Mytilus edulis: one gene and its partner. The protein of the gene in region 1 interacts with the protein of each later gene in a pairwise test. Links are inferred from orthologs where the notes say so. Each region holds a gene or a part of one and is shown on either strand. Other genes may lie near its edges.

What was found.
Region 2: the proteins of cytoplasmic protein NCK2-like (region 1) and sorting nexin lst-4-like interact in a two-hybrid assay, tested with the Drosophila melanogaster proteins (2 studies listed by BioGRID). The link is inferred for Mytilus edulis from reciprocal best matches to the Drosophila melanogaster genes dock and SH3PX1.

Annotation. Positions count from the first base shown.
Region 1 is NC_092346.1:20,313,537-20,331,407, reverse strand, and holds the start of cytoplasmic protein NCK2-like, read right to left. Parts: upstream 9,093-17,871; 5' UTR 8,763-9,092; intron 2,828-8,762; 5' UTR 2,806-2,827; coding exon 1,792-2,805; intron 1,141-1,791; coding exon 934-1,140; 3' UTR 1-933. UniProt on the Drosophila melanogaster protein: Adapter protein that links cell surface receptor tyrosine phosphorylation to downstream signaling pathways and effectors, many of which are involved in regulation of the actin cytoskeleton.
Region 2 is NC_092350.1:70,776,147-70,793,659, reverse strand, and holds the start of sorting nexin lst-4-like, read right to left. Parts: upstream 7,803-17,513; 5' UTR 7,686-7,802; coding exon 7,665-7,685; intron 5,620-7,664; coding exon 5,533-5,619; intron 1-5,532.

The DNA of each region.
Region 1 (17,871 bases):
TAAATTTCCTTGCAGTTAAGGATCATATCCCCACTTTCACAAGCAAGATCCAAAAGTGCTCGGAAATTATAGATTTAACAGTAACCTTTGCAATTTTGTGCTTTGTACAAACATTAAATATTGCATAGCATTAAAAACAAGAATATGTCCATAGGACACAATCATGGCATGCCCCGTTCACACGAATACATTTCATTCTTCAGAACTGCAAAATTTTACTTATTAAAACCTCTTTTTGTAATTGAAACAGTTCATATATAATGGACATGTGCTCTAAGTTTAATGTTGATAAAACCACCACTTTCATAATTAACTACCTTCAACTAAAACTTTACTCTAATAAAGAATGAATGAACAGAAAGATGTAGGCTGAAAAAACGCAATGTTATCTAGGACATTACACAACTCATTGGTTGCCAGTTGTTTGACATGAACTTTGTAAAATAAAAAAAATTACACATAATCTCTCCATTATTTAGACTGCTTTTAAAAGGGGAACTTAAAAAAATGTAAGCTTTTGAAATTAGTGATTCTGTGCATGTTTCATCTTACAAATACTGCAGTTTTATCTAAATCTTGTCCCAGGAATTTTTATTTCAACAGTTAAAGATGAGAAAGAGAAAAAAATATGAAATAAACAAAATCTTAGTAATAAGTTACATTTGCAGAAACTGCTCCTATGTTAATATATATCAACTTATTATATTAACGTTGTCGATTCAAAATGCTATGTAACAGAAAATATAACAATTTACATGCAAGTTTCTGAGGTTATACATTTTCGAACAGATTCTTATGTAGTAGGGGTTAAAATCTCAACAACAAATTAGAACAATGATTAAGATGCTATGATTGATCAATACTTTTGCACTTAATAATTAATTCAAAAAATTCAAAAAAATGCTTCATAAATACAGTAATAATAATGTACCGTCAGAACTCTGACGGCATAATGAATGGTTTGACTAAATACAACTTTTCATTCTCCTGTTTAAAGATAGGATGTTTCTTGTAATGCTCTATTAGATGGTCAAGTGACGAGAATTTTTGTTGACCTATCTGGTACTGTTCATCGTTCACGTTCACACGAAAATGCTTGTTCCTTTCGGCAGCTTTTAAAACAACTGTAAAGTTTCCACTCTGAAAAAAAGAGTCAATATAGTATTAGAAAATTGCAAATAACCTATCATACTAAAATGACTAAAAAAGGAGACGATAAAATATTTAAAACTTCCACAATTTATTCCAATATTTATTTCATTTTGTTACTTAGCTGTTTCAGTAACGTGTTTAATGAGCATTGAGATAACTGTCATGTATATGTGAAACCAAATGATGATGCAATATTTACATTTCCTTCTGTAAGGATGGTCTTTCAATTGAGTGTGAAATGGTTCTATTATGAGTATATTCAAAAAATAAAACCATAACTGATATACGAATCCTAAGGATGATAACTCTGAAATATACTTTTAGTCCATGAATGTTTTTTTTTATATTTATATGGAAATGATATCCTCAGGCAAATAAATAAATAAATGCTTGTAATTAACTGTATTTTGTTTAACTTCATTATTTCACAGTGTATTATTAATATATATATTTTATGTTGGAGAGTTGTCTCATTGTCACTCACACCACATCTTCTTATTATTTTGAAACTTTGCTAACAAACCAAACACTTTGGAAAATATGTGTTCTCATTAATATTATAATTTGATGTTTTAGGCAAACCTAAATATCCGATTCCTCATGTAGACAGACACATTAAAAACTAAGACAAATACTAACTGCAGATTCACTATCACGTATAATGAAATCTCCTTCCTGAGCAAACTTTTTCAAAAGTTCCTCGCACTCTTGTCGTGTTATTTTGCCATAATACCAGTCTTTATCTGCAAGTGGACCAGAAACACGAAACTGTTTTCTACTTCCTGGACCGACAACTGAGAGATTAGAAGTGTTCGATAGACTACTTGTTGATTGGGACTGTGGTGTTGAAGAACTGTGGCTATTGGCAGTTTCACAGTCTTCTAAAACAACCTGAACATAATTTTGTGGGACCAGCCCGACTAATCCACGTTCATTCTGAGCACGCCACCAATCAGGGTCTTCTGACGGTTTTTCTAAAATCACAAGTCGCTCTCCCTTTTCAAACGCCAGTTCCTCTGGTTGCGTACCAGTAAATGCATAAAGGGCAACAACAGTTTCTTGCTCCTGAATTCGAGGTTCCAACATTGCTGCTGTTGAATACTCCACGGGACAACTATTTTCATTTTGTTCAATAATGTCAACATAATTTGAAGGAAACCATCCAGTACTATTATCCTTCTTACGACCCTTCCACCACCCATCAATTGACTTTTCTAACACTGTCACTTGTTCAGCTTTGGTCAATCCCAATTCATCCGGCCTCTGAGGAGTATAATTAAATTTGACAATGGAAGGCTGAGGATCACAAATCGTAACGTCACTACTCGTACTATTTTGATCACTTCCTGTATCTCCGTTGCGGCTCACCACAGGACTATGAGAAGTTAATTTTGTATCACTTTTATTTCTTCTCCCAAGAGTTGCTCTGAGACTAGAGAAAATCTTTGAAGGTTTGGACTTTTTAACATAATTTGAGGGAACGAATCCCGATTTGTTACGATTGTTTTGCACTTTCCACCATTCCCTAGTGTCATCCAACAAGACCAGCTTTTCATGTTTCCTTATATCTAATTCCTGTGCATTTTCGGCCCTGTAGTCATATTTTGCAACAACGACTTGCTGACCTTCTTCATTCATGGTTGCTGCTGGCATCCGGACGTTGTGCTTCACATCACTGAAATGATAAATATCCAATTTAATTTCTATCCCATTTTTATAATGCTACTGTTGTCATATAAATGGATACTAACATTTTGCAATACCTGATTGACCTAGGTTCATATTTTGTGTGTTTTGTTTGTTACTGCTGATTTTGAGTTTGTTTTTTTTTTTTTTTTTTGGGGGGACCAGTTTCTGTTGTATACTGGTAATTCAACATTTATTGTTAATTTATCTGTCGCAATAGCCACAATGCAAGAAACAAGTTATATTTATTGTTTATTGTTTTTGCCCAACCTTTACTGTGAGCACAAAAGATTTTTCTGGAACTGCCACTTTTAACAAGTGGGTGGATTAAACTAGTCTTGTGTATTTTCAATCCTGACACGGTCAGTGACACCTACTAGTCTATTATCACAAGTGGCATACCAAACAATAGCTTTAGCTAAAATAAATTGAATATATGTGTATGTAGTTATACAATTTATAAAAATTTGATTGTCTGCAATAATTGCAATAATTGCCTTTAATAACCATGTGAAATAACTGTCCATTACACATGTTAAATGCACTATTAAAGCAAAAAAATCATGATATCTTCACTCTGGGGGTGGCATAATTATTATCTATATAGATATAAGTATGTATAATAAGATATATATGTACAAGGGGGTTGACCTAAATTCCATACATCAACATTTTATGGGAAATATCAATATTCATACACTATTATTTGGTATAAAACTGTAATGCTTAAGTATTAAATCTTCAGACATATATGTTAAGGGGGTTCGCGGGTCTAAATCATTTATATAGGATTTCTCTATATTTTTCTATAAATGAACTTTATCTTATAGTTAATAGAAAATTAAAATAAAAAAGTGGGGTCACCGTTCATTTGCGCTCACAATCTGCCTTCGAAAGAAGCATACATTTTTGTAAAGGTGGTTGAAGTAATAGGAGAAATATAGGTATTATCGAAATAAAAAAAGAAATTTATTACAGAAATCGCTCAAATTTTACAATAATTTAGTTTAAGTACAGCTTATATGGAAATTATATTAAAAAATATATGTCACCGATGAGTTAAAAAAGATATATCAATTTTAAAGCCAAAAAAGAGCATTTTTCCACCAAAGGGAGATAATTTGGAACTTTTTCAATGATGTACACATTTTAAATGTCATCTGGGGCCAACACGAATTGATTGTTTTGGATGATTTTTGTACCATATGATAAAGTAACAACTACAAAAGGTAATAAATAAAATTTGTAGTGAAAAACAAATGTTTAATTTTTTCTGAAATTTTTATACCCTCGAGCCTCCTTAAATGAAAATAAATGACATTAGATTTTATATGAGAAACCATAATTTTACATTATTTTTAATCTATTGATTTCTAGTCTAGGACAGTTTCTGTGTACATGCATGTCTTCTCTATCTGTCCCTTCTGATTTAAACACTTCCAAACCATATGCTGCAATTAAAAGTGAGCATTACATGCATGCATGTACAGGATTTTGGTAAAGAGAAAAAAACAACACTTCAGCAGCAGTTGATAAATTATTGAAATGTCACAGTACAAGGGGTAAATCAAGTTTTATATTATCTTGTTTTGATCATTACAGCCTTCACCATGTTCACCTTAACTTTTGAGTCCACAAGCCAGAAGCTCAATTTGTTGAAAATTTAAGTTGGATTCTGTAGGCTTGTAGAGAAGAATTCACAAGTCAATGCAGTAGGACTTATGTTTAAATGTGAAGACTGGATAATATTGTCAGAACCTATGATTTAATGTTAACAAAAATAAATTTAATTCAATTGGTCGCCTTTACTTTTGAAGCTTCACCTCAAAACTTCGCGATTTTTTTTCTTTTTCAAACCACTCGTTTGCCCAAATTTTGGGAGTGGAAAAATCCAAAGAACAAGAAATTAAATTGGTGTGGCCTAGAGAATGGTTGCAAATAAATTAACAAATCAGCTGTTAAATTAAGACAAATGGATGTTCATGTTATCACACAGCAATAACAGTCAGTTAATATATACTACTCCTTTCCTGAAAAACATAATATGAACTCTGCAGTGTGGGTTTTGCTCATTGTTGAAGTTGTATTGTATTCTATAATTGCTTTTATGTAATTTGATCTGCAGTGGAGAATTTTCTCATTGGAAATCATACCACTGTGGCACATCTTTTTTTATATCAACTGAGCTGTTACAACAGCATTTAGCTAATGAAATAAACATCATTGCTCATTGTTGAAGGCCATACAGTGACCTATAGTTGCTAATTTCTGTGTCATTTTGGTCTCTTGTGGAGAGTTGTCTCATTGGCAATCATACCACATATTCTTTTTTCTTCCTCTGGCACATGAATCAGTCAACTTTCTATAAAGCTACAAGTCCCTTTTTCTGACATGAAGTTTGTACATGTACATGATCTATCCATAAACAATTCCATTATACAGATGCAGGTGTCAGACTGTCAGCAAACTCTTAATTGCAGCAGTACATTTGTGAAAGGGGTTATAAAGGACAAAATTGATAACATTGTAGATATGAACCCATACAGTACTATGAATCAGAGTAAGCTGGACTTTACATGCTGATACAACAATGTACCAGTAAATAAAAATTTCTGACCGTGTCTATATTTTCAATTCTGGATAAAGCTGTAGTACTATATTACTATTGATTAACTCTCCATGAAAACGTATACCACTGACTAACTGTTACAATTAATTTCCATTCCCCTTGAAATTTTATGATGAATAGACGTCCACTGACACAGCAGGTTCGTTCACTGACATTTAATAAATTACAGCATAAAAAAAGATGGAGACTTTTGGATAAGAATATATGTACACACGTGCACATAAGATTTTATCTTTATTTTTGTGTTTTCTACTAACCGCACATTTTCTCTTCAATTACCAACTATCAGGTGGTTGAATTTAAAGCTTTAATCATTTGCACTATTTCTCTCCAAGATTACACTGTGATGCATAGTACAGAAAAACAGGAAATGAAACAAGTTTTTATCTGTTTCTATCCATGATTGAAATTCCAGCATATCACTGATAAGAAATTTGTCTGTGTAATCAAATACTGTTACTACTCCAGTCCTGCTGTGATCAAATATTCTATTAAAAACAACTAATGTTATGATGGGTTAGAATTCTTCAAACAGAGATGTATTTTTATACTATTGGAAAAGAAAAAAATGCAGTAAAAATGTGTTTTTTTTTTTCAAAGTAGCGTCTTTACAGTGAGATTTGTACAAACTACTAGCACAAAAGTCTGCAAGCTATATAAAATTGATACCTTCAACTATTGTAAGATATTGGTAAAAGAACACTAAAAGTTATAAAAATATATTTTTAAATAATAATTCGCTAATCTTATTAGTTAATTAAGTCCAATAAAAATCTGTAAAATTGTTTACCATTTCTTTTTATCTCCATGCATTATGATTTGGACAAGACAGCAAACTGATCATGATATTTGAACTTATTAGTTGATTACATATACATGTCTACTGTATAGGTTACACATACATGTATATTGCAAAATAATATCTAAAATTAAACAAGACCTGTTAATTTCTTCACTAAAGGTTAGACATTTTCCTTGAGGCTCTTTTTCAAATAAAACCGAAGATAAGACACATTCTAAGAAAATTTCAAATTAAAAGACTATTTTCTATCAAGAACAGTGGTTTAAGCCATTCATGCCATTGTAAGCTGAGAAACAGTAAAAAAATTTAATACAAAATATCCATCATTTGTCCATGATCACATCATTTTTCAAGAATTTCAAAATAGGATACTTTTTTTATAACCAACATTTCATGTCCTTCCAGGCTGCCGCTATATCAAGTTCAATAATTGGTTAAGATGTTGCTTGTATTGTAACAAATGAAGTTTTACATGTATTACCTTTAAACAACTTCAAGAAAAAGAAAAGAATAAAAGTGCTTTTTCTATGATAAAATCTCGAGGATAAAATAGTCATTTAATATGATTCTTTAAATTTCTTAGCTTCTACCCTCAGTTTTCAATATATGTGTGTGTTTTAAAATTTTCTACAGAATACAAAAACATTTTCATGTTATGTAGCTAAAAATAAATTTTCATCCATGGATATCCTTGAACAGATATTAAAACCTTACCTACTGCATGTATTGCTACATGTATAGATACTAACAACAGAAGGGCCAGTAATTCCTGGTACAATAGTCTAGTAACACACTTTTATGTTATATCTCTAATAAAATCTGTTGATACATCATGCAATAGGGGATCAATGAATTACTGTCCTCCTACCATGTGTAACATCACCAATGCAACTTCAAATGTATAAAAAAAAGACTGTAACTGAGAAAAACAACACAGACTTTGGAAATAAAATTACCCAGATAAAAAAACAAAAAAACTAACATGACTAAAGCAAAAGCTTAAATGAACACCTGGTAAATGACAATAAAGACAATACAAGAGGGAAGGAAGGCCCTTTCCCTTCAGCGTCAAATTGGTTAAAATTTTATTGTGATTCGTTTAATTATCCTTATCATGAATGATTCATTAGAAACCCCAAATAATAATCTGTTACCATTATTATTCATAAACAGTGAAAGGTTGGTAAATTATTCTTCTTCTTCCTCTTCAGGTATCTTACCCTTCAGAATTATAATGATTACTGACTGCAATCATGTCAATGCTCAATATACAAATTGTAGTATAATACCATTTAGGCACTACTTTATTTTTAGTTAAAAGGTCCTTTTTTACTTTGATCAGCATTTGTATTAGATTTGGGATTCTTGAAATATTGTAGCCATGAGTATCCTTGAAGAGACAATAATTGGGACATTACATTTGTACCATTTCCATGTATGATGTACGATGTAGATGTACATTGTATGTTATCATGTGGAGCAGGATCTCCTTACCCTTCCGGAGCATCTGAGATCACCCCTAGTTTTTGGTGGGGTTCATGTTGTTTAATCTTTAGTTTTCTATGTTGTGTTCTGTGTACTATTGTTTGTCTGTTTGTCCTTTTCATTTTTAGCCATGGCGTTGTCAGTTTATTGTTGATTTATGAGTTTGACTGTCCCTCTGGTATCTTTCGTCCCTCTTTTATCAATGTTAAAGTTTTTGGCGAACAGGAAGTAAAACATTGAAAGAACTGCAAAACATGTCACACAGTAGTCAAGATAGCATTATCAGATCATTGAAGCTTAGAGCCAAGTTTCAAGAATCTATGACTTGTACAAATATAAAATTACATTGTATGTATTTGGATCTGGTGGTTGCTGTCAGCCGAGATAAATGTTGCATGATCTTACAGATGTCTAGGAAGGATGCAGAGGTAAATCAGCAATTCCAATTTCTTTGAATTTAAACATATAACTACATTGTATAAGTGCATGGAATTTTTATCAGAAACATTTTTGCTCGCAAAGGGTTAAGATCCGCCAAAAAGGGTAGAGACGAGGGGACTGGATTGTAACCCTTGGCTAGCAATGATGTATCAGATCAAACTATAAATGGTTGATTAGTTTGTACATTGACATTGTGTGGTCCTGTGTTGGTGTTTAACCTCTTACAAAGTAACCTATTGCTCTAAGTGTGGTGGTGGGACAGTTCCAATTAATAGAAAGTACAAACATGTATGAAACATGTCATTGTACATAATTTACTACATCAAGCTATTAATAGTTTTTAACATGTATACATACACCATCTTTTAGGTTAACACCCAATCTATGGGTATGAAATGACCTGATAACATCTACAATGTAAGAAGTTGAGTCAACAATCAACAGATGACTGGCTTTTTGAGAACATAAAACCAATGTTTTCTACTTGAAATTCATTGTAAACTGTCATAATCGGTTAAAACTGTATATATAAAACATGTCTGCTAACTAACCATCTTAATATCTTACCTAATTACTCATATTTTTAAGACTTTGACAGTTGGCATTGTTTTTGGTTTTCCTTCATTATCTCACTTCATTTATTATTCCATGACCGATATCTCGGAGATGAGTCACCCACAGAACAACGGTAGGAAGTATCGCGAAAAGTCCTTCTGTGTCAGTATTATTAGCAACTTTACTTTCAGATATTAAGTTTTCTATACCCTCTGTTCAATAGTCACTCCAATATTATCTTATATAGATCAAACAAACTTCATTTCTGCGGTATTCTTTTGACAAGTAAAGTCGGTGTTTTGGTCAGCCATGTTGATTAGAGTAAAATAGTCCCACCCATTTAAAGATTCATGCGCGAGAGCAAAAATATCGCGGGAAGCTGTTTGAAAAGGGTGTTCCTCTATTTGCATTTTATTACGAAAAGATGTGGTAGCAGAAATAAATGTTGCTGCAAGGTTGCAAGGAATATGATGAGAAAAAGCTAGATACCAATTTTGATCCATAACATAACGAAATTGAAAAGTGTGGACCCTCATAGATACCTCTCGGCCTTGATGTTGTGTTATCTTTAAAAAAAAAAGACGTTTCGGCCACACTACAAGTTCGCCTACAGGTCGTTTCGTCCACGCTACCAGTTCGTTCACATCCAACAAAGTGGCAGTTCGTCAAGAACCAAAAACGGCTGGCGGTTCGTCTGTCAACGTATATTTGTTCCACCTAACAGAAGTTCCAATGGAAACTTTGTTATAAACATTGTCATAATATCTATTCCTGTTGGAACAAATATTCTATACCATTTATTCCGTTGGGAACATTTACTGTAATATTTATTCCTGTGGAAATAATATTCCAGAACATTTTTTCCCTTTGGATATTATATAATGAAGGAAATGCTATTCCGTGACACGTCTACAATCGATTCGGCCATTCTACTAGGGTGAACTTGCCCCCTTCCTCTTCTTAAGTTGTTTTCCAGTCTTCCATCTGAATGAAGATGATTAATAACTGATGCATACGTGGCCTATTTGTTTTAAAAAAGTTAATATTTTAGTTATATACAAAAAATATTGATAATAATGTTGCAGCAGAGAACAGACGTAGTGATTAAAATTATTTACAGGAGAAGAAGCTATTCAAAATAGAGTGGCCCGGGCAGAGAACAACATATGTAAGCTGCTCTATGAAAGAGTCGACTGTTTTAAATGTATTAACAACTGTAGTTGGTAATAATAGATTCCATTGCGTTATTGACTAATTGTTTATGGGAAAAATGAAAATCTGTACGAGTCTTTAGATGTTTAAATATGTCTGGAGGTGTGAGAATGATGTTTTCTAGTTCTTGAGTCTGATGGTATGAGAACTGTGCTAGATAGTATAGCAACAAGATGATGTGTGATCTTGTACATCATAACCAGGCGTGAACATAATCTGCGTTGGTTGAGTAAATTGTGATCAGTTGAGTGTATTATTGAGCATGTTTGATACACTGCTAGTGGTATGATGCACGTTGCAGGCATACAGAGAAGCTCTCCTTTGGACCATCTAGCTTCGAGATAGATTCTGAAGTGTGGGGGTCCCAAACAGAGCAAGAGTACTCGAGTTTGGGACTACCATCTTGGTATCTCTGGCTGTTAATGATTTGATTTGATGTTTTCAAGTTTACGAGGTATTGTCATCTATATGTTTGTCCCATTTTAGGTATGATTGTAATGTGATGCGGCTCTGCTTAGTATTTAGGCGTGATGATCATGCCTTAGTACTTAGCAGATGTAACAGTTTCTAAAATATGATTGTGAAGAGTGTAATTAATTTTTAAAGGTTGATTGTGACAGAGAGAGCATTACACCTGTCGGGTAGATGGCCATCAGTCAGTCCACTTCTCATTTTGAAGCTGCATCAAGATCAGCTTGCAGATTGAGGCATGCAGCTCTATGGTGGTATGGGATTACACACGCAAAATAGTAGACTTTTTTCATTCTTTGCTAATTTGTGATATATAGCCCAGGTGGTCGTGTGGTCTAGCGGGACGGCTGGCGATTTGGTGTCACGATATCACAGTAGCATGGGTTCGAATCCCGGCGAGGGAAGAACCAGAAATTTGCGAAAGCAAATTTACAGATCTAACATTGTTGGGTTGATGTTTAGACGAGTTGTATATATATATATATATATATAATAAAAACTATAACACAAATTCCCATACGTTTCGGCCATTACGGCCTTCTTCATTGGAATAAATTACAACATTGAAACAACAATTACATCGCTTGGATACATTACGTTATAATAACTTCTATGACGTTCATTTGCCGCGTTTTTCGCATATATCACGCCTACGGTTTTACAATTTATTTGTCCCTGAATGGTATATTCTTTGCCGGTGTTGTCACAAAATACCTTGGTTTCATTTATATGTGAGCATAATGCACAATTTTTACCACATGGTCCACATCCATTAGTTTGTTTATAAAATAGTAAATTATGCTTTTTGTGCACTAAGATGTCTTTTATGTTGTTATCGCGTTTAAATGCCACGATAGGCGGATCGGGGAATATTTTCTTTAGTCTTTCAGATTGATGGAGAATTTTAAGATTTTTTCTATGAATTGAATGTACATTTGGAAGCGATTTATGCGATTAATTGTACAAAATGTGAAAAAGTTATATATGTAGGACAAACGGGTGATACACTATATCAACGAATGCTATTGAACTTTTCAAAAATACGCACACAAAAAACAGAAGATCCGGTAGCCAACCATTTCATTCAGAACAATCATTCAATGACAAATTTGAAAGTTACCGCCATAGAGAGAGTATTTGGGACAGAAGTTTACAGAAAAACTAAAGAAGCCTTTTGGATGAAGAAATTAAAAACTTTAGAACCTGAAGGACTCAACACAATGTATGAACGATAATAAATATATTTATATTAAAAAAGCGAAAAACGCGGCAAATGAACGTCATAGAAGTTATTATAACGTAATGTATCCAAGCGATGTAATTGTTGTTTCAATGTTGTAATTTATTCCAATGAAGAAGGCCGTAATGGCCGAAACGTATGGGAATTTGTGTTATAGTTTTTATTATACAATCATTCAGAGACTTTACATATATATATATATATATTTGCGAAAGCAAATTTACAGATCTAACATTGTTGGGTTGATGTTTAGACGAGTTATATATATATATATATATATTTGGAATTTGGATGTGTTATAAAATATATCTTGTTATTAAAAACAATAACTTTTCAGTGATATTCCTGTCTTGATTTTTCGTTCCCCATTGTTAATTTTCGCTTTTTGGATGGTATTGTTCCTTTGGCACCATCTTTCGGTGTTTATATTTCACAACCAAATCTATATACCCAAGTCTGTTGTGACGTTTTCACGAACGTAATGTTTGTATTACTGGTAAATTATTAAGTCAGGGATTACATTACCACAAATTACTTAAAACTTTTACTAAAGTCTTCCGTAGATATAAAGATTTGGTTTTGAAGTTTGGTCGTTCCTGTAGAAAAAATATTTCAAACAGGATAGCACATCCTCATTTTTACAGAGATGCTGTTTACCGTGCCCGAAAATTTAGAAACGACCCTGTAAAACTTATCGAAAGTCAGACGATCCTTTAAATAAAATTATTTTATTATTCTAAAAGGTTACCAATTCAACACTGTAATAAGATTGGTTTTATTGGTATTAATATTGATTTTGCTATCAGTAAATTAAAAGCAAACTAAATATTATTGTTATATACATAAAATTGAGAATGGAAATGGGGAATATGTCAAAGAGACAACAACCCGACCATAGAACAGACAACAGCAGAAGGTCACTAACAGGTCTTCAATGCAGCGAAAAATTCTCGCAGCCTGAGGAGTATTTCAGATGGCCCCTAAACAAATATATATACTAGTTAAAATTTCAGTGACAATGAACGCCATACTAAACTCCATATACACAAGAAACTAAATTTAAAAATAATACAAGACTAACAAGGGTCAAAGGCTCCTGACTTGGGACAGGCGCAAAAATGCGGCGTGGTTAAACATATTTATGAGATCTCAACCCTCCCTCTGATCTCAAATCTCTAGCCAATGTAGAAAAGTAAACGCATAACAATACGCACATTAAAATTCAGTTCAAGAGAAGTCCGAGCTGTGCGGCATATTTTCAACGTATATATGCCCTGAATTTCTCAGAGTTTAAACTAACACTAATTTTCTTAACTGCCCCTACCTCGAATGAAAAGTTACCACATATTTCAATGTAAACAGTATGCACACGTTATGTTCTTCTCATATATGTTATGATGGTATGATACTAAACCCCTAACGGGAAGGATTGTGCCTGATATTCATATGATGAAATCATAATCTTTCCATCAGTTTAATTGAATAGCAACCTTATTTATGTACAAAACAATGAACGAAAAACAAATATGTAACACATAAACAAACGACAACCACTGTCTACTTTACATACTTTCAACCAAGCTCTGAATGCCCTCGATTTCGCGGGTGTGTTCTAGTCATAACATATATGAGAAGAACATAGCCCGTGACATACCAACAACTGGTTTTTAAATAAATGTGTTTAGTTCCAATGCAAAGACCCTACAAGTGAATCAATATTAACGCCAAAATATGCAATTTTTAATGACCTGACAACAGTATCGTATCTATATCCCTTCTTAATAAGTCTATTTAAAGGTTTTGTTACCTTCTGAGGTGGATACTGACATTTTTGTGCTTTATAACGAATATTTCCATAAAAGATTGGATGTGAAATACCTGAACGTATAAGAAGTCTGCATGTTGAGCTATATTTTCGAATGATGTCCTTGTACCGATGATGTAAATTTTTAGTAAATGTTTTGACTAGTTTGTGATATTGAAAACCCTGGTGTAATAATTTTTCAGTAATACATCTCTCTTTAAAATCTAAAACGTTGTTACATACACGCGGGAATCGTACACGTTGAGATATATAAACACCGTAAGATGGTGACAAAGGAACGTCACCATCTAAAAATGGATAATTAACGATAGGAAATGAAAAATCATCTCTTTTATCATAAATTTTAGTATTAAGCTTTTCGTTAATGATATAGATATCAAGATCGAGGAAAGGGCAGTGGTCATTGTTAGTATTTGCTTTATTTAAAGTAAGTTCAACAGGATAAATTTCTTTAGTATACATACTGAAGTCGTCATAATTGAGAGCCAATATATCATTTAAGTATTTAAAAGTATTATTAAATTTTTATAACAGATATTGATTCGATTGGTCTTTGCTGATTTTTGTTATAATTTGTAACTCATATCAATACAAAAACAGGTCCGCAATAAGTGGTGCACAGTTAGTTTCCATTGGAATTCCGATTACCTGACGATCATCGGAATCTCAAAAGCGAACAAAAATGTTATCCAGTAAAATATACATATTCATGGATCTACAATCTGTCGATACCTGTATCTTGGCATTGTACAAGGTCATGTTTTTGTCTGACTGTTTATGATGTCTTTACACTAAATCGATTGGATGTTGGACGTGTACTGATTGATAATTTAGATGCATGATTTTTTTTTCATTATTTGTAAGTGGTTTTGAACTAGTTGTCATCATTAACTGCGAGTACTCTCAAATCTGTGCTAAATATCTTTTTGTTGTGATATACAAGTACCAGCTGAGTACCCGACCACGTCCACTCTGTGATTTCTTATATGTATTTCTATTTGAATCCATGAGTTAAGCCTTTTTCACCTGATTTTTATATTTCGTTCTTATGTTGTAAAGTTAAACCACTGTCCCAGGTTGAGGGGGTTGCTATGATCTCGCTAAACTGTTTAACCCCGCCACATTCTGTATGTATGTGCCTGTCCAAAGTCAGGAGCCTGTAATTCAGTGGTTGTCGTTTGTTGATGTGTTACATATTTGGTTTTCGTTCATTTTTGTTTACATAAATTAGGCCGTTAGTTTTTCTCGTTTGAATTGTTTTACATTTATAATTTCGGGGTCTTTTATAGCTGATTTTGCGGTATAAGCTTTGGTCATCATTTAAAGCCGTACGGTGACCTATAGTTGTTGATTTCTGTGTCATTTGGTCTCTTGTGGAGAGTTGTCTCTTTGCCAATCATACCACATCTTCTTTTTTATAATCATAGTTTGAAGAAAAGCCAATAATACCATTGCAAAAAAGAAAAACAACAAAACAGTATACAAAACCGACTACAAAGAAAGCTAAAAAAAAAAAAAAAAGACAGAAAACTAACCCAACCAACTGGGGTGATGCTTGTTAAACGCATTTTTTTTTAAAGCGAAGGTTGTATAATATAACTACCGAAACACATGCATAGGTTTATGACCAAAGGTTGAAATTACTATAACACATGTATTAGCCAAACTGGACCAAAAATAATATAGAGTCAACATTACTTGAGGGTACTTCTAGCTTCGCCTTAAGCAATTGGTATTTTTTTAGGAACAACAATCATGCTAGTACTCTCATAACCAGTCAATAAATGTACAGCATTTAATGATAAATCATGATGGTATGCAGATTCACTACTGAGATTCATTCGGGGACTAATTATAATTAATAGCTCTGGAACTTGCAGCTGTATTTAACAAGTGCTATTGTAACGTGTATGTAAGCGTATTTTTTTAAAGGAAATTCAACATGTAAATAGTGCAATAAAGACTTTATTGATATTTTCTAAGGTACTGTTTTTCACCTTTATAAAAACAAGAAGATGTGGTATAATTGCCAACGAGACGAGAGCGCTCAACCCTCCGTAACCTAAAAAGTACATAACATCATTTAAAAGCAGTGTAAGGGAGGTAATGCAAACACAACATTGACAATTACCTCCCTTTCAAATTATGTTATGTACTTAGTAATTGTCCATTTATCAGGAAACCCTTTTTTGCCCCTAAATCCTAAATGGTTTGAGCCATACCCCCCCCCCCCCCCCCCCCCCACCCAAATTCCAATTCTTACCTTCCTTTTTGTGTAATATGTATAAAGAAATAATATTGTATTGTCTTGAGGTGATTAGCTGTCAATTTATTTTTATATTCTAATAATGCTGATGAAAGATATTTAATTTTAGCCATGATTATGTATGTCCTTTTCTATTTTAACACTTTTATGATATACTTAAATGGGTTATTATGGTTGCAAACTTCATTGGAAATTTGAAATGAGATTATGATAAAAACTTGAGGGAAAGAATTTTTATTTGGAAAACTGGGGTTAAAATTTTTTTTTGGGGGAGGGGGGGGAAATCGTCTCAAGATTCAAGAAAATAAAATAAAATTTCTATTTTAGGGGAGGGGGTAAACTCACATCAGCGTAACGTATTGCATAAAATAAAATCAAGTTCTTTAACTACCGTGAGTTATTCTGTGCCAGAAACCTATTATGTGTCAAATTAAGAAATAATAGATGCAAGCTGTATTTTATTGTAGTTTTGACATGGGTAGGCATTATATTCGTGATTGTTTTTGCCCGAGCGAGAGGGAGGGTTAAAATAACAGGAATATAATGCCTACTGATGTTTAAACTACAATAAAGTATAGCTTGCATCAATTATTTCGATTCTAATTTGGACAATTAAGGTAATTTCTACGTCCGATGTGTTTAAGTGGAGGGCGCTTGTGTAGGCTCTTCCATGAACTCCTTTTTTCGTTTGTAAACAAGTAAACGACTGGCAATGTGATTTTCCAGAGGGATGAGATTTGAACAGCCAACATTAACGGTTATCGTATCCACAGGTGCTTGAGGACAGGATCCTGTATGAGCCCCAAATAGTCCCTCCCCCTTTTTTTTTATATATATTTTTTTTAATCATAAATCTCAGATTTTTCTATATATATCCCTTATTTGTACTTATTTGTACCATATATATACTAATATACCATATTTATACTCTAAATATGCATGTTTACTATCAACGTGAATCTCGACTATAGTAAACATGCATATTAAGAGTATAAATATGGTATATTAGTATATATGGTACAAATAAGTACAAATAAGTGATATAGATAGAAAAATCTGAGAATTATGATTTTAAAAAAAAGGGAGGAGGGACTATATGGGGCTCATACAGGATCCTGTCCTCAAGCACCTGTGATCGTATCTAGGTCAAATATGCGGCAACTTAGTCTAATTCAAATTGCAACACATGACAACAATAATAAATGAATTAGTAACAACATGTGCATCATTTAACAGTTTGAAAATGTTTAAAGTTAGGGAGCTACCATTTGATTTTTTAGGGTTGGGAGGGGGGGGTGGTGGGGGGTGGCTAGAATGAAAAATTTTGTCCTGCATTTTTTTAAGCTGTAATGTCTGTCCTGCCTTTTTATTTTTCATTCTGTTCGGTCCTGCCTTTTTTTCTTTTTTTTTTTAGTTTATCCCGACTTTTTTTTTACCTAAATTGTCGTCCTGACATTTTTTTTTGCAAGTGTCTCATCCTGCCTTTTTTTAGTCAAAACTCCTGTCCTGCCTATTTTTCAAATTTCATCCTAGTCCCCCCCTTTTCCCCCCATTTTGTGTTCATTTTTGCTGCAACTGTTCACAGTTGGACCTCTGCGGTCGTATTCAGCTGCGCTCGACGAAGCAATTTATATTAATTAACCTATTAGCCTATGATCAAAGACGTATATTAGATGTTATACGTTCTTGCCTATGATATAAAAAGATAAGATAAGATTATTAGTTTCCAAATTAGGTTCCCAAGGGGCATACACATAAAACAAATATAATCGTTTACAACATACTGTATTGTGCATGACATTCAAAAATACACAAGAACCAATCAGACCTAGAAAAATACCGTGCAAAAAGAAACATCTATCTTTTTAGGTTAGATACTAAAAATCTTTCCTTTCTCCATTACCATCAAAATTTGAAGGCTATTTCCTGTTTGGCGGTAAAATGGCGGATGTTGATGTTTTGAAATAATTTTGATTATTTTTCACATCTTTTAAAGTAAGAGATGTCAAGTAACACATAGTACGTGACACATACTGTTCAAATTTTATTAAGAAACTCTAATCATCCCACATAAATGAATAAGACCATTGCTTTACAAATTTAAAAT
Region 2 (17,513 bases), on another chromosome or scaffold:
ATTGCATGTTGATGTTTGAATCATCTACAGCAAACATCATTATGTTTAAATTTAAAAAATACTTTTTTTAATAAGTGCACAATCTTTGAGAATGATTTAAATAACCAGTGAAGGATATCCCTGCTGATGCGAAGTGTGGCATTCCAACAATGACGTCACTATAAAATATAATGTAGGTTGGATATATTTAAAATATCTCGTCATACTGATTTTTCCAGATTGTAAAAAAACTTAAGTAGTGTAAAGGCATGAAAGGAGAGCTCAATATACGATAATTTCGAGAGAAACAGAAGGGAAATGTGTAAAAAAGTGTTTAAAGTCAATTTATTCATTTGTGTCTCCCCATCTCATCATTCTCAGTAAGATTTGTTGGGGGGTTTTCCACACTATAAAAACAAAATGAATGATGTGAGGGAATGTCACTCTGGTCAACCCCATTGGGGATTGACGGCTTGAAGCCGTCTTCCCCAAAAACAGGGAAGGAGGAGGGGGAAAAGAAACCATTCATTGTAGTATCCTATAGTCTTTACCTATCTAAAGAATATAGATTTTCAATAGATTTTCTACTTTGTGGTAGGATATTTAGGGGCCAGCTGAAGGACGCCTCAGGGTGCGGGAATTTCTTGCTACATTGAAGACCAGTTGGTGACCTTCTGCTGTTGTTTTTTTTTTTATGGTCGGGTTGTTGTCTCTTTGGCACATTCCCCATTTCCATTCTCAATTTTATGGTATAGGTCAAGTAAGAGCAACTATTATAAGTTAAATCAAGCTTATAATCAGTACAATTAGAGGGAAAATATTAAATGTTTTCTGATGATTTTGTCGTGTATAGAAAACATAAAACAGCTACAATGAGCTAATTATTGACCCCAAACGTAAATTAGTCCAATACAAATCATAAAACACTTCCGTAAAAATGTTTAAAATTACTTGAAAGCTTTTAATTCAAAAACATAAAATTGATTTTTTTCTTTCCTCTCCAGACAAAATCAATACACATGATAAAAGGTTTTAGTCTTTAAAAAATGATTCTTTATTTTCTTCATGTCATGAATGTTCAATAGGTGAATAAACATGATAAAAACTCATTGTCAAGAAAAGAATTTATTAAGTAAACCATGTAATAATCATTATGTAACTACATGTATGAGGGTCTAGAATCTCTACAAAGTTAAGTTCAAATTTTTTTTAAAAGGTGAATGTTAGTATCGCCTTTTTTGAGTAACTTTCAATTTGATATTCTGTAAAACATTCTTAATTGTAATACTGCAGGTTCACAATTAGAGTCCTTCATTTCTGTGTTCTTAATTTTTAACTATTTTTTCTTTATTTCTTTAATTATTTTGCCCATTTCACTCTATTCTTTATATTTGAGCACCCCATATTTCTCTTAGGCTTTATCATTTTTCTATTTTCTCTTGTTTCACCATTATTTTGAACTTTTTGTCCAATATATCTATCCTCTAATCTGTAAACCCAAAACTAAAACTAATATGTATTGCCTGACATGTAAGAAACAATAGCCTGAAATTTTAATTTCAATAAAAATTTGTCAAATTTCGGGAAAAAAACAAAATTAACATATTTCATGTTCTTTTTTGGTGATATCAATTCATGTCAAGTTTATCAACACATTTAATCATAACAACATTCCAATAAATGACCTTTACAATGATATCTGGTTTGATGTTGGGCCCCAGGCCCTGAATCTGGCTTTTCTCACACTTAATATGTTGTTTTTATCCAATCATGTGTGTGTGTCCTATAATCTGATACATTTGTATGTCAACAAAAGAAACAAACTTTTTCCCACATAGATAAAAAGTATATGTCCTGATTCTATTTTCATAAACTGGTAATTTTCTTCAATTCTTTTAAGATTTATAGCATTTCAGAACCCCAATGAAACGCAAATTATTCTCAAATCAATGCTAATACCTCCTACCCTGCTATCACGATCACAATAATGCATAATTTTACAAAACTTAAAAAACTATGAGAAGTTGTCATTTGATTTCTACGCAGTAACACATATAGCTTGAAGAAAGAGATCATTTGCATACTGTATTAACAAGCTATAATTTCAATAATTTATACTTTTTGAAAACGCAGATCCAAAGTCATTGAAGGTCAAGAAGGTACAAAATGGAACAGTATTCTATGCCAATTAAACTGACCCCAGTGACCTCTCCAACTCATTGGCTGTTTCAGAATCAAATGAATTCTGGGTAGAATTTTCAAAAATGTACAAATCTTAAGCCTTGTGATTGGCTAACAACGTCCTAAACAATTGAAATTCAACCAATGACATGACGTTATTTTATTTTTGGATATGAACAATCAAATATCCCATAATCCTTTACATTCTGAAATGGCCTTTTGCATGACAAAGTTCTTGAAAATATTGTATTTGGACCACCAAGAATACAAATTAGGTGGTCTCATATCTAAATTTATTTGTTGCGATATATTTATAGTAGAAAATAAGATTTGAAAATTTACATTATAACTATAATACTTCCATTTCAAAAATTGATATAAAAACTGTCATTGCAGAGGTTCTCAAAATTGTTATATATAAGGTTGTCCCTGAAGAATAACTGCTGGTCCTCAATACTATTTCTATTATAAAAAACCAAAATTCTGTTGGTCCTTTACAAATTTTGGTGGTCAAATCCTTCAGAACACCACTTTTCGAGAACTAGAATTTTACTAATTACCAGGAAACACAAAAAGGCATAAAACCACCACAAACATTCAGTTGAATGCTACTATCTTAGTGGTAGACCAATCTGACTTTTGGTGGTCAGGACTGACATGACATGACATAGATATTTCACCCTATAACCATGATAACTGTCATCTATGACATGGTTGCTATAATCTGAGATATTTTTTCAATCCATGCAGGTGTTAATACATGAATTTGTACTGTTACTAAAATTCAGAAATTATTTCGTGCATATGTATTATTCGTTTTTTGAAGAATGGGCATATTTATTGCCATATTAATTATTGAGATTTACTGAAAATCTGCAAACAGATAATTGAGATACTAACTGTTGAATTATTTGCATTAATAAAAACCTCATAATAATTTCTGAGATTTAGATGTTTCAAAGTTACCAGTCTGTGTTTTATCTGATTTACACTTTAGCAACACTTTTAGCTAATGTAAGTAAAGTTACATGTAGCAATTTTATAGTAACACAATCAACTTTTAGGTTACATGACACTCAGTGCAATATATATTCCTTTTTAGGAAACTTTTTTTATTCTATAAATAGTTTATTGTATATTATTTCAAATACATTTTACTTTATTTTCGAAAGATTATTACACTTTGATTTACATTATTTAATTTCTCTGATTCAATGTTTGATTTATTGATAATCCTGATAATGGCCAATACAAATCACTTGAAGATAACATCTATTAAGTCTGTTAAGTGTCATCCTTTAATTTGACCCTTCCAAATATTGGATTATGAAATCCCTATTTCAATAAAATTTTAGTAAATAATAAAGCTATTAAAATCAATTATAAAACAATAACATCCACTTCATTTGAACTTTAGTGCATAGTTGTCTCATTGGCAATATGTTGATGATTATAAGAAGGCTATTATAATTTTAAGGATAAACGATGATAAAAGGCAAAAACATAAAAAAAAATGATAAAAATCTTCATCAAAGGGCAGTAACTCTTACAAGGGTTCTACTGATGATTTTGATCATGAGACTTTATTGTTTAAGATAATAGGCAAAGGATTAAAAAAGGTAAAATTTAAGGTCAATAACTCCTATGAGTGAAGTTATCTTTGCCCTTTAGGCCAGCAGGTGAGCTAAAAAAAAAAAAAAAATACGAAAAAACATGGTTTAAGTGGAAAGATTGATAAGCGTGGATAGTACCAGTATACATGTACTAAGAGGCTGTCAACTGTCATCTTCTATATTTCAAGTACTTCAGTCTATACTTAATCAGAACAAAAGTGTTTTATTCCTGTTCTGAACAGGAAACTACGAATCTGTATTGCTACTTATCTAGAAAGATATAATTTAAACACTCTATAATGACATATAGATATATATTATACTTGGTAAAAATATTGATAAATATATTTTCCGTGAAATAAGGGAACATAAACTTATAAAGCTTTAACTCATAAGAAACCCTAATATAGCACTCTGTTTTTTAGCCAAGATTTTAATTCAATAAGCATGTACTATGAAATAAATTTTAATCTTTTCATTTTCTGTTTAATGTGTATAAATTTGGTGTTTAAAAGTTCAAAAGAAATCTGAGTCTAATTCTAGTGAATGCATTTTATTATCTAATTCTTGAAATAGACAATGACTGGTAAATGCCATTTGATTAGGGACATATTCTGTTTTAAAAATTCAGTGTTTTTGTGATTTTTCTCTTTAGCCATTAGATTTACGGGACTCACTCACAGTCTGTTTTGAATTTTCCTTGAACATGTTGGAGTTCAGTATTTTTGTGATTTTACTTTTTTTTATACCATGAATACATGTATATCAAAATCTGGTTTATACATTCAGGGGATAGGTACAACTGGGTAATATAAGATCATAAAGAATAATTTTGATTTTTTTAATTAATGCATTTCCTAGCTTATTGGATGTCAGATTTTTGTACATCCATGTTTACATTTCATCTTTTCTAAAAAAAAAAAACAAAGGATAAGCCAGCTTCCTGTTACATCATTACAAAATTACTTTTCTTCGTATCAAAAACATAACTGTTCCTGGCAAAAGGTCTATATGATATATAAAATATTATATATAAAATCAATATACATTGAAGGAAATGTGGGGTATAGTATAAAGTCAATGAGGACACATGTATATCATGTATACTAGATAAGATATGTCTATAGTGAAAATATTAACTTCGTGCATCTGTAAAATAACTATGTACTGTATTTTATACTTTTCCTTTTTTCAGGGAACGCGGTTGACAACAATTTCAAGTACAGCTTTTAAAATTTCATAGTTCAACTTATATAGTTGGAAACTTAAAGAAGGAGAAGGCTGAATTATAATATCCTTTTCGATGATGACAAAATTTAAATTATCTTCAGTATCTCTTTAAATTATCTTCTTTATATCACGGTCACAGTGAGTTTAAGTAAGTTGATAAAGCGAGTGTACCAAGAGAAAACCATGATTTTTGACAAAAAAACTTTGCAAATTTAGATTGGAGTAAAACACTTTCACCATCAATTTTTTTTACCATGTTCACAAAAAGGATCGAGTTTCAAACTCAATGACCATGACTAAGGAAGCAGGCGCAAATCATAAACTCAGTGTTGACATGCTAGTGATCATGTTTCTCAGTCCACTCAGCCACCAATACCCATGATAACTTAGATCTATACATGTACTTTACAAGAATAATCAGCAGAAACAAAGTTTTCCGACCCCCTCCCCAACTCTAATGAGTAAATGATCAGCTATCACACTGCCCAAACTTTGTCCATTCCCCTTCTTTTTTGTTAAATCTACTTACCTGTGCTGTAACTGTTAATTCTTCCCCTGCTCTGACAGACAATTCTCCATTATCTGGATCACCATCAAAATCATATAAAACTTTTACCTGAAAATAGAAAAAAAATATAATTATCAAAACTGTTGCATAGTTTAGTAGAAGAAACAAGGGGAGATAACTCATATAATTAAATTTGATCAACATTTAAAGCCAACATTTTGAAATTTTTATAGGTATTAAAATTATACATCAACATCATTTTGATACCGAGTATCTATTAACATGATTAAACCAAAATAAACTCATACCTCTGATGGATTAAAGATTTTGTAAAGAAAAAAAGAGAGGAGCTTAATTATACCAGATAAATTACTAATATTGATATAAGACCGATATATTTTATACTGGTTTCAGTTATAGGTTTCACTGATTTTGATGGAATGCAAGTAAGTTCATGAAGTTAAGCTTTTTGCTGTATTATTGTCAAATATATATACAATGAAATTGAAAATGGAAATGGAGAATGTGAATGTGTCAAAGAGAAAAAAAACAAATTAAAAGGCCACCAATTGGTCTTCAACACATACAGTGATTACATATATGTTTCACTCAAGTTTGAAGAAAAGCCAGTTTAGTGGGCTCTTCCAGTTATTGTTGTATGTAGTGTATACAATGTAGGTTTCACTGTAAGTTTGATGAAATGCAAGTGATTTAGGCTGTTCCAGTTAGTATTCCATGTAAACATGGTATACTTTGTAGGTTTTACTGTAGTTTGGTAAAATGCAAGTTAATTAGGCAATCATTCTAAAATAGCAATCACTCAATATCAATCAACCAATATTGATTATGGGACATTTTTTTTAACTTCAATCTAAAATCCTCGCCAGTCATTAATTCATTTCGTTTTAAAAGACGATTAAGATTTTTTTTCAATTTGTAAAATGTTTAAATCACTAAAAATAGCAATGAAAAAAGCAATTTATCTTTAAAAATAACTGTATCTTGGATTTAATGTTTAATTGATTTAATACAAAAGTCCTGTATCCGCTAATAAACCTTTCAAATGTTCTATTTCTTTCGAATTAATCGAATAAAAAGGGGTGGAGTACAAATAACATAATTGATTTCAGTCATACACGAAATGTAACTAAATCTGATACAGCTTGTTTCATATGACATATTTGGTGTCATTGTAAAAATTGTCCATGATGATTATAAGAATAAAGATCAAAATATACATATTTTTGTCCATCTGATGAGTTAAGCCATTTTCAACTGATTTTTATAGTTCGTTCTTATGTTGTACTGTTATACCACTGTCCCAGGTTAGGGGGAGGGTTGGGATCCCGCTAACATGTTTAACCCCGCCACATTATTTATGTATGTGCCTGTCCCAAGTCAGGAGCCTGTAATTCAGTGTTTGTCGTTTGTTTATGTGTTACATATTTGTTTTTCGATCATTTTCTTACATAAATAAGGCCGTTAGTTTTCTCGTTTGAATTGTTTTACATTGTCTTATCGGGGCCTATTATAGCTGTTAATGTGTGTGTCATTTTGGTCTTTTGTGGATTGTTGTCTCATTGGCAATTATACCACATCTTCTTTTTTATATGATATACAGGAAAAGGTCTTTTTTAAGCTGGCGATATTGAAAATTTCAGCTGACTTTATATTAATCATGTTAATCGTCATATGATTTTGAATAACATGTTTAAAGAATAAAATTGAAATCCTATATTTTCAACATCTGCTTTTCAGAAAGGCAATAAAATGTAATTGTCAATTTGCATGTTACATATATAAATGTAAATTATTAACTTATTATTTTCTGTATGGTTCGTTTAAACATAGATACATCTGTTGGATCCAGAAATTTTATTGGTAATATATGCATTGGCAGACTTTTCTTACATGTCTTACAAGTCAATATTAATTTATCACATATAAATATATATGCAGAAATAGTCTCACTGTTTCTTGCCAAAATACTTTCCATGTTTACAAATACTCTTGCATATTAACATAATGTATACATGTAGCTTTAAATTCAATATATTCGATACTTCATTGTTATACATACAAATATCATTGTCTATAATCAATTATGAATATAGATAATCATTCTGATCTTTTTCACACAAATAATATTTTACCTTCATTCCTTTCTGAATCATTTTCCAATAAAAATCACTCTTCCTATTTTCGTGTAAAATTGAATAATAATAACAAATTTAAAATCACCCCAATCATGCCAATTGAACTGATCAAAACATGAGTCACAAACTATACTAACTAATTCAAACAGAACCACCTTATTAGTAATAAATACACTGAGGTGATATTTGAATGACTCAAATTAACGTCTCGGTCAGTAACAAGGGTTTATTTACCCGATTATTAAAGATGTTCTTATCGTAATTCATCAGAATTAATCATTTCATTTTTTTGTCTGTTTACCTGTTGGTTGATGAAGCATAAGTGATATTTATTTAGGTTTAAATTAACCTTAGGCTAGAGACATGTTGAGAAAAGTATACTGAAAGATGTGAAATAAGAATTTCAAGGCTTCACCTAAACCTGTTAATTAGGAACAAAAATCCTGATACATAGTTTATTATCTATATAATTGTCAGAGATTCAAAAATGTAATGTTAAAGTCTTACAAGTTAGCATTTGATTAAACCAGGAACTTCAGAAATATATTTATAAGGTTCTGGAGTCTGGACATGGGGTCCTATATTCATGTCATTCAGAACTGTATTCTTTAATTTCTTATGTCATTTTTCTCTGTTTTTTATATTAATCATGTTTATCACCCCTGTTTTAATTCTCTTTTGTTTATTTTAATGGCCTACTAGCTCTTAGTTTTTTATTTTGTTGGCCTACTAATAATTCTTTTCTTTATTTTTTGGGCCCTTTTTTATCATTGGTAGGTTATTATCTAATATTTGTACATGTATACTCTATCCAGACACTCATATAAGGGGGAATTCATCACATCCTTATTTCAACCATACAGCACTTAATATAATGATTTTTTAAATTAATGAACTGTTATGGATGCTTTATATGGCACTTGTAGAAATGACTATAATTACAACAAAAGGACTTTTTTTCTAAATAAAGTATTGATTTAAATGTACATGATTTGTGTTAACATGATCATGATGATTAAGACAAACAAAGAAATATCACATTTTGCACTTTCTGAAGCATCAAACTTAAATTCTGTCACTTGAGCATGATGAGAAAACATGTCATATTGCATAAATCAATAGGATTTAAAACATTGTAAAATGTGGTTAATCATGTTAATATTTAAAACATAATTGTGTGACTGTCTATTTATTTAGCAAAATATATTTAAGAAGCTAGACATGAAATATTTAACTTTATAAGAACTGGACAATTCTGACCCCAGACAAATGACAAATGAACTAGGAATGAAACCAATTTTTCTATCAATTCATGCCAAATTAAAGATTCTTCTTTGATTTTGGATTGCACATACATATAAACATGTATATCATGTATATAGCATTTAAATGTAACCATGATAAGAATAGATTCTACAACTCAGCATCAAGTGTGATACAATATTTATCACCTCAAACAGTGTCAAACAGTTAAATTTTCAAATTTTAAATAGTGAAGCTCAACGAGATATTTATCTGTTGAAGGTGGATAAATATCGTATTGCATGAGATTTGTTAGTGCCAGGAATCAGTTTCTCGATATTGATATTTATACAGTAAACAGACAATCTTCATCCTTCTTTTGAATGATATATATAATAAGTACATGTATCATCATTATAACATGATATCACTATAGGAAATTCAGCGAAAAGTAAACAAAATTGAAGCCAAAATTGAATTTCAACCAATGAAGAAGTGGTCAAACATAATCACACATTGTTTAAATGAAAATAATCAACAGGTCAGGAAAAAGTTGAATTCAGTAGATAAATAACAGTATTGCTAAGATTCGTCAGATGATGGGATTTAAACCTGTTAAATGTTATAACAGGCTATTATTTGAACTTGGAATTATTTTTAATTATGGAATTTGCCTAATTTTTTGTGATTAAATTTTTTTATAAATTCCATGTAATATTTGGTATTATGATCTTTTGAGCGGTTAATAACACTTTCCATACAATGTATTTTGGTTAGATAGTGTTGTGCGCGGCACAGTACATTCTATTAAAAAATACTATTTTCTTTGTAATAGAAAGTGTTGTGGGCAGCACAGAACATTTCAGTACAGAATAAACGTGGAATTTATTGAAAATTTCAATAACAAGAAATCAAGCAAATTCCATAATTAAAAATAATTCCAAGTTCAAATAATAGCCTGTTTTATATACTTTCACCTTTTTAGTCAAGTCATGATTTTTGTTTACATTGTTGTGTACGTATGTATATATATATATATGATTAAAATTTGAAAATAGATATAAATGTATCATGAATATATGTTATTGTATGTACTGCTCAATTTGGATTTATATATATCACATGTATATCATAGCTTCTGTGCTGAAAAATGTTCAAATGTGTAAATTACTTTTCGGGCAGAACTAACTCTGACTTTTTTACACATTAAATTTACTGGAGTCACCTCTCTGAACTCATTTATAAATAAAAGGGGAATGTTTCCATGGGACTCACATGATGCTATACTGCTTAACTTAATTTAATTTAAACATATTTATTTATAGTGGATTGGGAAACAAGTTTTGCAACTTAAATTAATCCCTTTCCACTTTGCTGGTGTCAGAGAGTACTGCCTTGTAGCAGCATTAGCCTGCTCTTTTTTCGAAAATCTACAAGGGTGACTTTTACGTGCAAGAGATATGGCTCTCTCTTAACACGGGTAGCTATTTATTGTCCCCTTCCCACAGACTATCATTGCTTCCTCAAGACCATACTTGCAAATGGTGTCAAGGGAGAGCCGAAAATTCAGTCCCTGAAATTTTCATCCCAGAACGTGAATCTAACCAGGAACCTTTGTGTTAGTAGTCCGATGCACTAACCACTACACCATGGCTCTCTATTGCTTGCATATCATATAAAGTTTTAAAGGGACATAACTGAAGAACAAATAGTAAAAGTGACGCTACCAAAATTTGTAATTTATCTGAATTTTGTAGTAGTTACTATTTTGTAGTTTGATAACAATTGGTTGCTGCAAACTTAAGTTAGAGAACGAAAACGAAAAATACATGTAAAGGGATATAACTCTATATTAGTCATGTTAGTAGAAATGACACCCCTAAAAATCAAACTTGATCTATATTTTGTGGTTATAAGCATTGTATATAAACTTCGTATCATTTGGTTGAGGCAAAGTAAAGTCAGAGAACAGAAACCAAACAGTCATCAATTTTTCCATTTGTAAAGGGGTATAACTCTAGAACAGATAAAGTGACACCACTAAAATTCAAACTTAATCTGTTGGTTTTTTTTGTTATATAAATAAGCACTGTGAATAAGTTTCATAACATTTGGTTGAGGCAAACTTAAGTTCACTCATCATTTTATTTTCCTTTTGTAAAGGGGTATACATTTTTTGTTACTCTGAAACAGTAAAAGCGCCCCATAAAAAATCAAACTTGATCTGTATTTTGAGGTGATAAGCATTGTGTATAAGTTTCATAAAATTGGGTTGAGACAAACTAACGTTAAACTTAGAGCAGAAGTCAGAGTGGAAACCAAAAATCATTTTTTTTTCCATTTGCAAAGGGGCATAACTCTAGAACAGTAAAAGTGACACCACCAAAATTCAAACTTGATCTGAGTTTTATGGTTACACCGTATAAACATCGTGTATCAGTTTGTATTCAATGGTTCCCCAAGATAGTCATGATAGTGGAGGGATACTGCTAAACCATGAAAACAGAACAAAAGTTACAGAACAACTTCATTGTCCATAATATTTCCATGGTAAATAGTGTATAATTTTATGACCATTTCGAGTCTAGTCAAGAGAGATTTTTCCTCATTTTACAGTTCATATACAATCCACCCTGCTGGCTGCATGACATTTCAAGAAACCTATATATTTACATTTTTTATATTTAGCTGAATTTGGTCTCTGAATGACCTTAGATGAGAGGGGGTTGGAGGGGTACTGATCCCGAAATCCAGGGCTTAAAAACATGATATCACAAGGTCCCAAATTTTTCAAAAAAATCTCCACAACCTGAAATTCGAGAAAAAAAAATCCAGGATCCCGAAAGGGTCAATCCTGAAATCCCAAGCTTAAAAAGACCCAATACTGACGTCCCGAAAAAGGTCCTGCCCCCCTCTTAGATCTGCTCCAAAATAACCGTACGTATGACATCAAGCATCAACCACTTTTTAATTGTGACAACAACTTTTTTGAATTGTGGTGTCAAAATAAATGGAACTTGAATACATAATAGCAAACAACTTTGCCTACAAGTGTAAATATGTCTATGTGACAGTGACACAGGCAATGGTTTAGAACCTAAATGGGTTTTTTACTGAATCAGGGTCCGTTTGCGCCCATTTATGTTCACCCCTTTCACGTTCGCACCCTGAATGTTCTCATCCAGAGTCCGTTGGCACCCTACACATTCGCGCCCAAATTTTTACTATCATTTTCAATAAAATACAAATCGCACATTCTAATATGACGTCCTTATTACGCTTTGTAAACAAAGCCGTGTCCTAATGAGCACAAAATATGTTTGACACATGCGCACGAACTTACTGTTTATATTAACGTTATTTCATTCGTTATCTTTTAAAATATATACATTTAAGCAGCTAACATAAACATTTATTGTATATTTTCATAAAACAACATATATTTTCCCTGCACGTAGTTTTTAAACTTATCAAATTTTATATAAAATCTTCAAAGTTTTAGTCATACCAAGCTAAATATATGCAGTTCTTTACAATTTCCATTCTTTATTACTTAAAACACATTATGCATCAAAGCAAGTTAAAAAACAACAATCATGACTTTTTTAACACTAAAAATAACACCAAATTAGGCTGTGAATAAATACCAACTAGCAGTAATCATACATAATTAACATAAATTTAATAATTAATCATCAAATTAATAAAAAAAAAATTATAAGATAATTCCTCAAATTTTATTCAAGAAAATAAAATTATTTGGTATATACATATAAAACAATATCTTTCAATTCAACTGAGATTCTAATACAAATTGGGTGTGAACGTGTATGGTGCGAAAGGACTTCCAAGGCGAATTCGGAGGTGCAAACGTGTAGGGTGCGAAAGTATACTGTTTTTACTATCCCACGTGCACACTCATACGATTTTTGAGTGTGAATAGTAAACCCCCATAGACATAAACAAGTGCGTGTGAACAGTTATTGTCAATTTTCAGAAGAAAAATATTATGGGTCTCTGAAAATCTAAATTTTACCATGGTAATTTATAAATGGAAATAGGAAACTAAATCGGACAACACTATAAAATTAGTCATATTAGTACCGCAAAATTAAACCTCTTCAAAATGTATTTGTAACCATGGATTTGGTTCAAATTTCCGTTTTTTTAAATTTCATAATGATCACATGAACTGTCATGTCAATTAAATATTTTGAAATCGGACGGGGGCGGGTTCAGCTATCTCTTTTGACGATAACTATATTTCCTGTTGACTTTTAAGATTGACAATTAATTCCAAAGGATTATAGTGACTTTTCTTCTCACAGAGACCATAAAAATAATCAAAACAGTGATTCTATCCCTAAATGATGGCTTAAAAGTGACTTACAGTGCTCTCTGCCATGACAAATTGCAGATTTTAATACGCCATCTATAAATATTGAGAAATTTTACAAGAGGGATAACTCTAATGGACATTGGATATTGGGGGGTCCTGAGGATTTTGTCTTATCAAAGATTTGTATAGTATACAAATTCTTGATAGGATCAAGGATACAGTAAGACCTTCTTACTATATAAATCCTTGATAGGATATAGGAGACGATACGATAATTTAGTTAAGTACAGGTAGCATATAAATAAACAAAAACAAAATTATATCAATATAATTATACATTCAGTTACAGGGAAAAACTATAAAAACATAAACCATGCAGAGACATATATAAATACAATCTCTGGATGAGAGCAGTTGAAATGGCTAGAAAAGATACTAACGTTTATACCTAGATATAGGAGAGACAAAGACATATAATTCGAAAGAAATAAGAAGATGTGATATCAACTCTCCATACATATATCTCTCTGCTATCTGGTATCCTGTCTTTGCAGATAGTTATAATCAAAGCCAGATGGCATGTTTTATATTTGTATGATATGATATATAATATTTCTTCTTTCAGTTTCTAGCTGTTTCCTTCAATTATTGAAGATAATTCCCCGGGCGTCGACTATACAATTTGATGATTTACATTGTAGCAAGACTAATATAAAAGAAACAAACCAAAAATCACTAAATATTGTACTGTATGTACATTTGAAACATTACATTTATTTATCATTAGCATTGATATGATAGCTTTTGCATATGAAACAATATCTGAAAAGTCCAATTTTTGGCAATAAGAAAAAACAAAAAAGTCTTTATGGAACAGTCATTATTTATCAGCTATGGGGGTTGGTTAATTTTAGGGGAGGGGGTCATTACCCAAAATATCACACAGCTGGGGGGATTGCCATCCAAAATTTTATTTTACAGGGGGTCACACAATGAAATTTTTTATGTCTAGTAAGATTGCAATCTCTTAGATAATTTCTGTCATATTTAAATCTTTGATAGTGTACAGCTCCAGCAGAATGCCCAATCTTTCAAGAGTAGTGTATCTGATCACTCATCTGGGATGAAAATTTCGGGGACAGAATTTTCGGCTCTCCTTCAAGTGACACCATATTCCAGTATGGTCTTGGGGAAACGATGATAGTCCGTCGGAAGGGGATGATGAATGGCTGATCAGTGTTAAGAGAGAGCCATATATTTTGCAGGTTAAAGACACCCTTGTAGATTTCGAAAACGAGTATGCTAATGGCGCTATAAGCGGCAGCACTCGCACCCGCAAAGTGGAAAGGGATTGATATAAGTTGCAAAACTTGTTTCCCAATCCACTATGAATAAAATATGTTTAAACTAAACTCATCTGTTATTGTTCATTGTCCATAGGATGTGAAAATTTACAACCCGACTTATCTTGAATTCTTAAAGTCATAAGAAACCTCAAATTAAAAAAAAATAATGCATATGTTTTTCATAACTCGATGGATAGTTTTCATTATAAAACTTATTTACATATACTTTTTTATGAAGAAAATTATTTCATTTGTTCATATTTAGAAGAAGTTTACTTTATTTTAATTGCTTGCTTCCAGGAAGCAATTCGCGGAAATATTTTTTCGTATGCAAATGACCTCAGCGTGACCCATCTCGTAAAAATCCGGTGATCACAATACGCATGGATGTCCTTAAAATAAACTATTATCTGAATGTGCATGTTAAACAATGTCAATATCTATGCTTTTTTTGTTGATTGTTGACAAACGGGTGAAAATCGTTAAACTTCGGCTTCAAAACACGAACTTTAATTACCTGCCATATTTTAACAATAACACTGACCGATTGAAAAAAAGAATTGACGACTATACGTTTTGGACAAGGTATGATAAGGTGCATTTTTGGCCCCCTCTTCAAATGACTTCATATTCAATCCATCATTAGTCTATGCATAGTGACTTAAAAAAATGTTGAGCATTTTGTGTTTATGTGATTATTTAGTTGCCTAGCAACGGGTTTTATAAAACGAACTATAATATTCATCTTTATTGCAATTGCCTAAGGAAAAGACTTCTGAATCTATTAAAATGAATGGTAATGTGTTACCAAACACTTGAATATTTACTATTGTTGGGTATATCATTTTAAAAAGTTCTTAATAGTAACCTAGCAACCACAATGTTGCCTAGTGATCACACAAAAGTACTTTTTTATCCAATTTTATCCATAAAAAAAATAAAAAATTCAAATGTTTTCATAGAACTCATATTAAGTCACCTCCTATATTGATATATTAAGAAACAATGTTTGCATGAAAAAAAAGAGATTTTATATCTATATAATCCGTCAAATCAACCCGAGTTTTCCTTAGCAACGCATAGTGTGTTTTAAGTTAACAGCTGAAGAACATTTAAAAAGATGTTTAGTATCACTGAGTGTAATTTTTAAGCTTGAAACGTGGAACTAAAGGATATTTATGAGTACCTTTAGTGCAGATGTGCAATTCTAATATATAATTCTTAATTCAGTGTTTCCATGGTTACACAGGAACGTATCCATGATATAATATCTTGCTTAGCAACCATCACAAATCAGATAAAATAATTTTTATGCATATCTAAGTATGTATTTTCATATAAAAGAGAGACAGCAAATACATATTTTTTAGTTTTGCATACTGTATAATAATCCCCCCCCCCCCCCGTTTTCACAATGTTTATTTTTTTCTCTATTGTTATTTTCAAAAAAAATCAATTGTGCATGATCTGATGAATAGACAATGTTATGTATGACTGTCAGGTTTCAATTAATTTCCGGTTTTTTTTCTTCACCCAAAGATTGAATAATTTAACTCAAATAAATGGAGTTTATGGACTCAGTTGATTCCCCCGCTAACATATAAAGTTATACAGAGATATATCGCAAGAACTTTAAAAGTGACGCTACTAAAATTTGAACTTAAACTGAGTTTTGTGGCAATAATCATTGTATATGCATTTCATAATATTGAATTGAGACAAACTAAAGTTAAAGATCGGAAACAAAATATCAGCATTTTTTTTTCATTTGTAAAGGAGCATAACCCTAGAACAGAAAAAATAAAAGAAATCCCCAAAATTCATACTGGGTCTGTGTTTTGTGGTAATAAGCATTGTTTAGAAGTTTCATAACATTTGGTTGAATCAAACTAAAGTTAGAGAACGGAAACGAACAATTCAGCAATTTTGCTTTTAGTACAGGGACATAACTCTTGAACTGGAAAAGTGGCGCCATCAACATTCAAACTCTATCTGTGTTTTGTGGTAATGAACAGTGTGTATAAGTTTTATATCATTTGGTAGAGACAAACTAAAGTTGGAAAACGGAAACGAAAAATTCAGCATTTTTTCCTTTTGTTAAGGAGCATAACTCTAGTATCAAGTGACGCCAGCAAAATCAAACTTCACCTGTGTTTTGTGGTGATAAGCATTGTGTATATTAAGTTTCTTAACATTTGGTTGAGGCAAACTAAAGTTAGAGATCGGAAACCAGTTTTGGGACATACAGACGGACGGACCTACAATGTATGTACGTATTTATAGACGGACAAGGGAACAACTTAATGCTTGCTCCGGTACTGAGAGGACGTATGCATGCTCTTTATTACATACGTGAAGCACAAAAAAATAGTTGAGAATTATAAGAGTAGAAATGTTTTATGTGTGAACTTGGCTGCTGACTTTCAAAATGTACATGAACGTCCATTTTTTTTAAACCTTTTAGTTGTAAAATAAATTTTATGCAGTAAAAAGTAGTACCATTCATATTATTATTTAGAACATTGAGTAAATTGGTGCATACTGTAATTGTTAAATTGATCTACATATTGATATTTTTCAACTGGGACCGAGAGGATAGGGGGCAATGACTGGGTTCTTTTACAGTTTTATTTTTAATCTAAGACAAAAGATGAATATATCATGAAAAAATAGAATAATAACATATCTATCTTTAAGCAATCAAGAAAATGATAGGAGTCTAGTGGTTTTAGTCATTTTGTGCAATGCATTTATTATAAATAGAAAGATGTGGTATGATTGACAATGGGAACTCTCCACTCAAAAGACCACGAAATTAACAACCATACGGCCTTCAACATGAGCAAGGCCATACCACATTGTCAGTTATAAAAGGCCCCGAAATAACAATGTCAAACGATTCAAACGAGATAACCAACG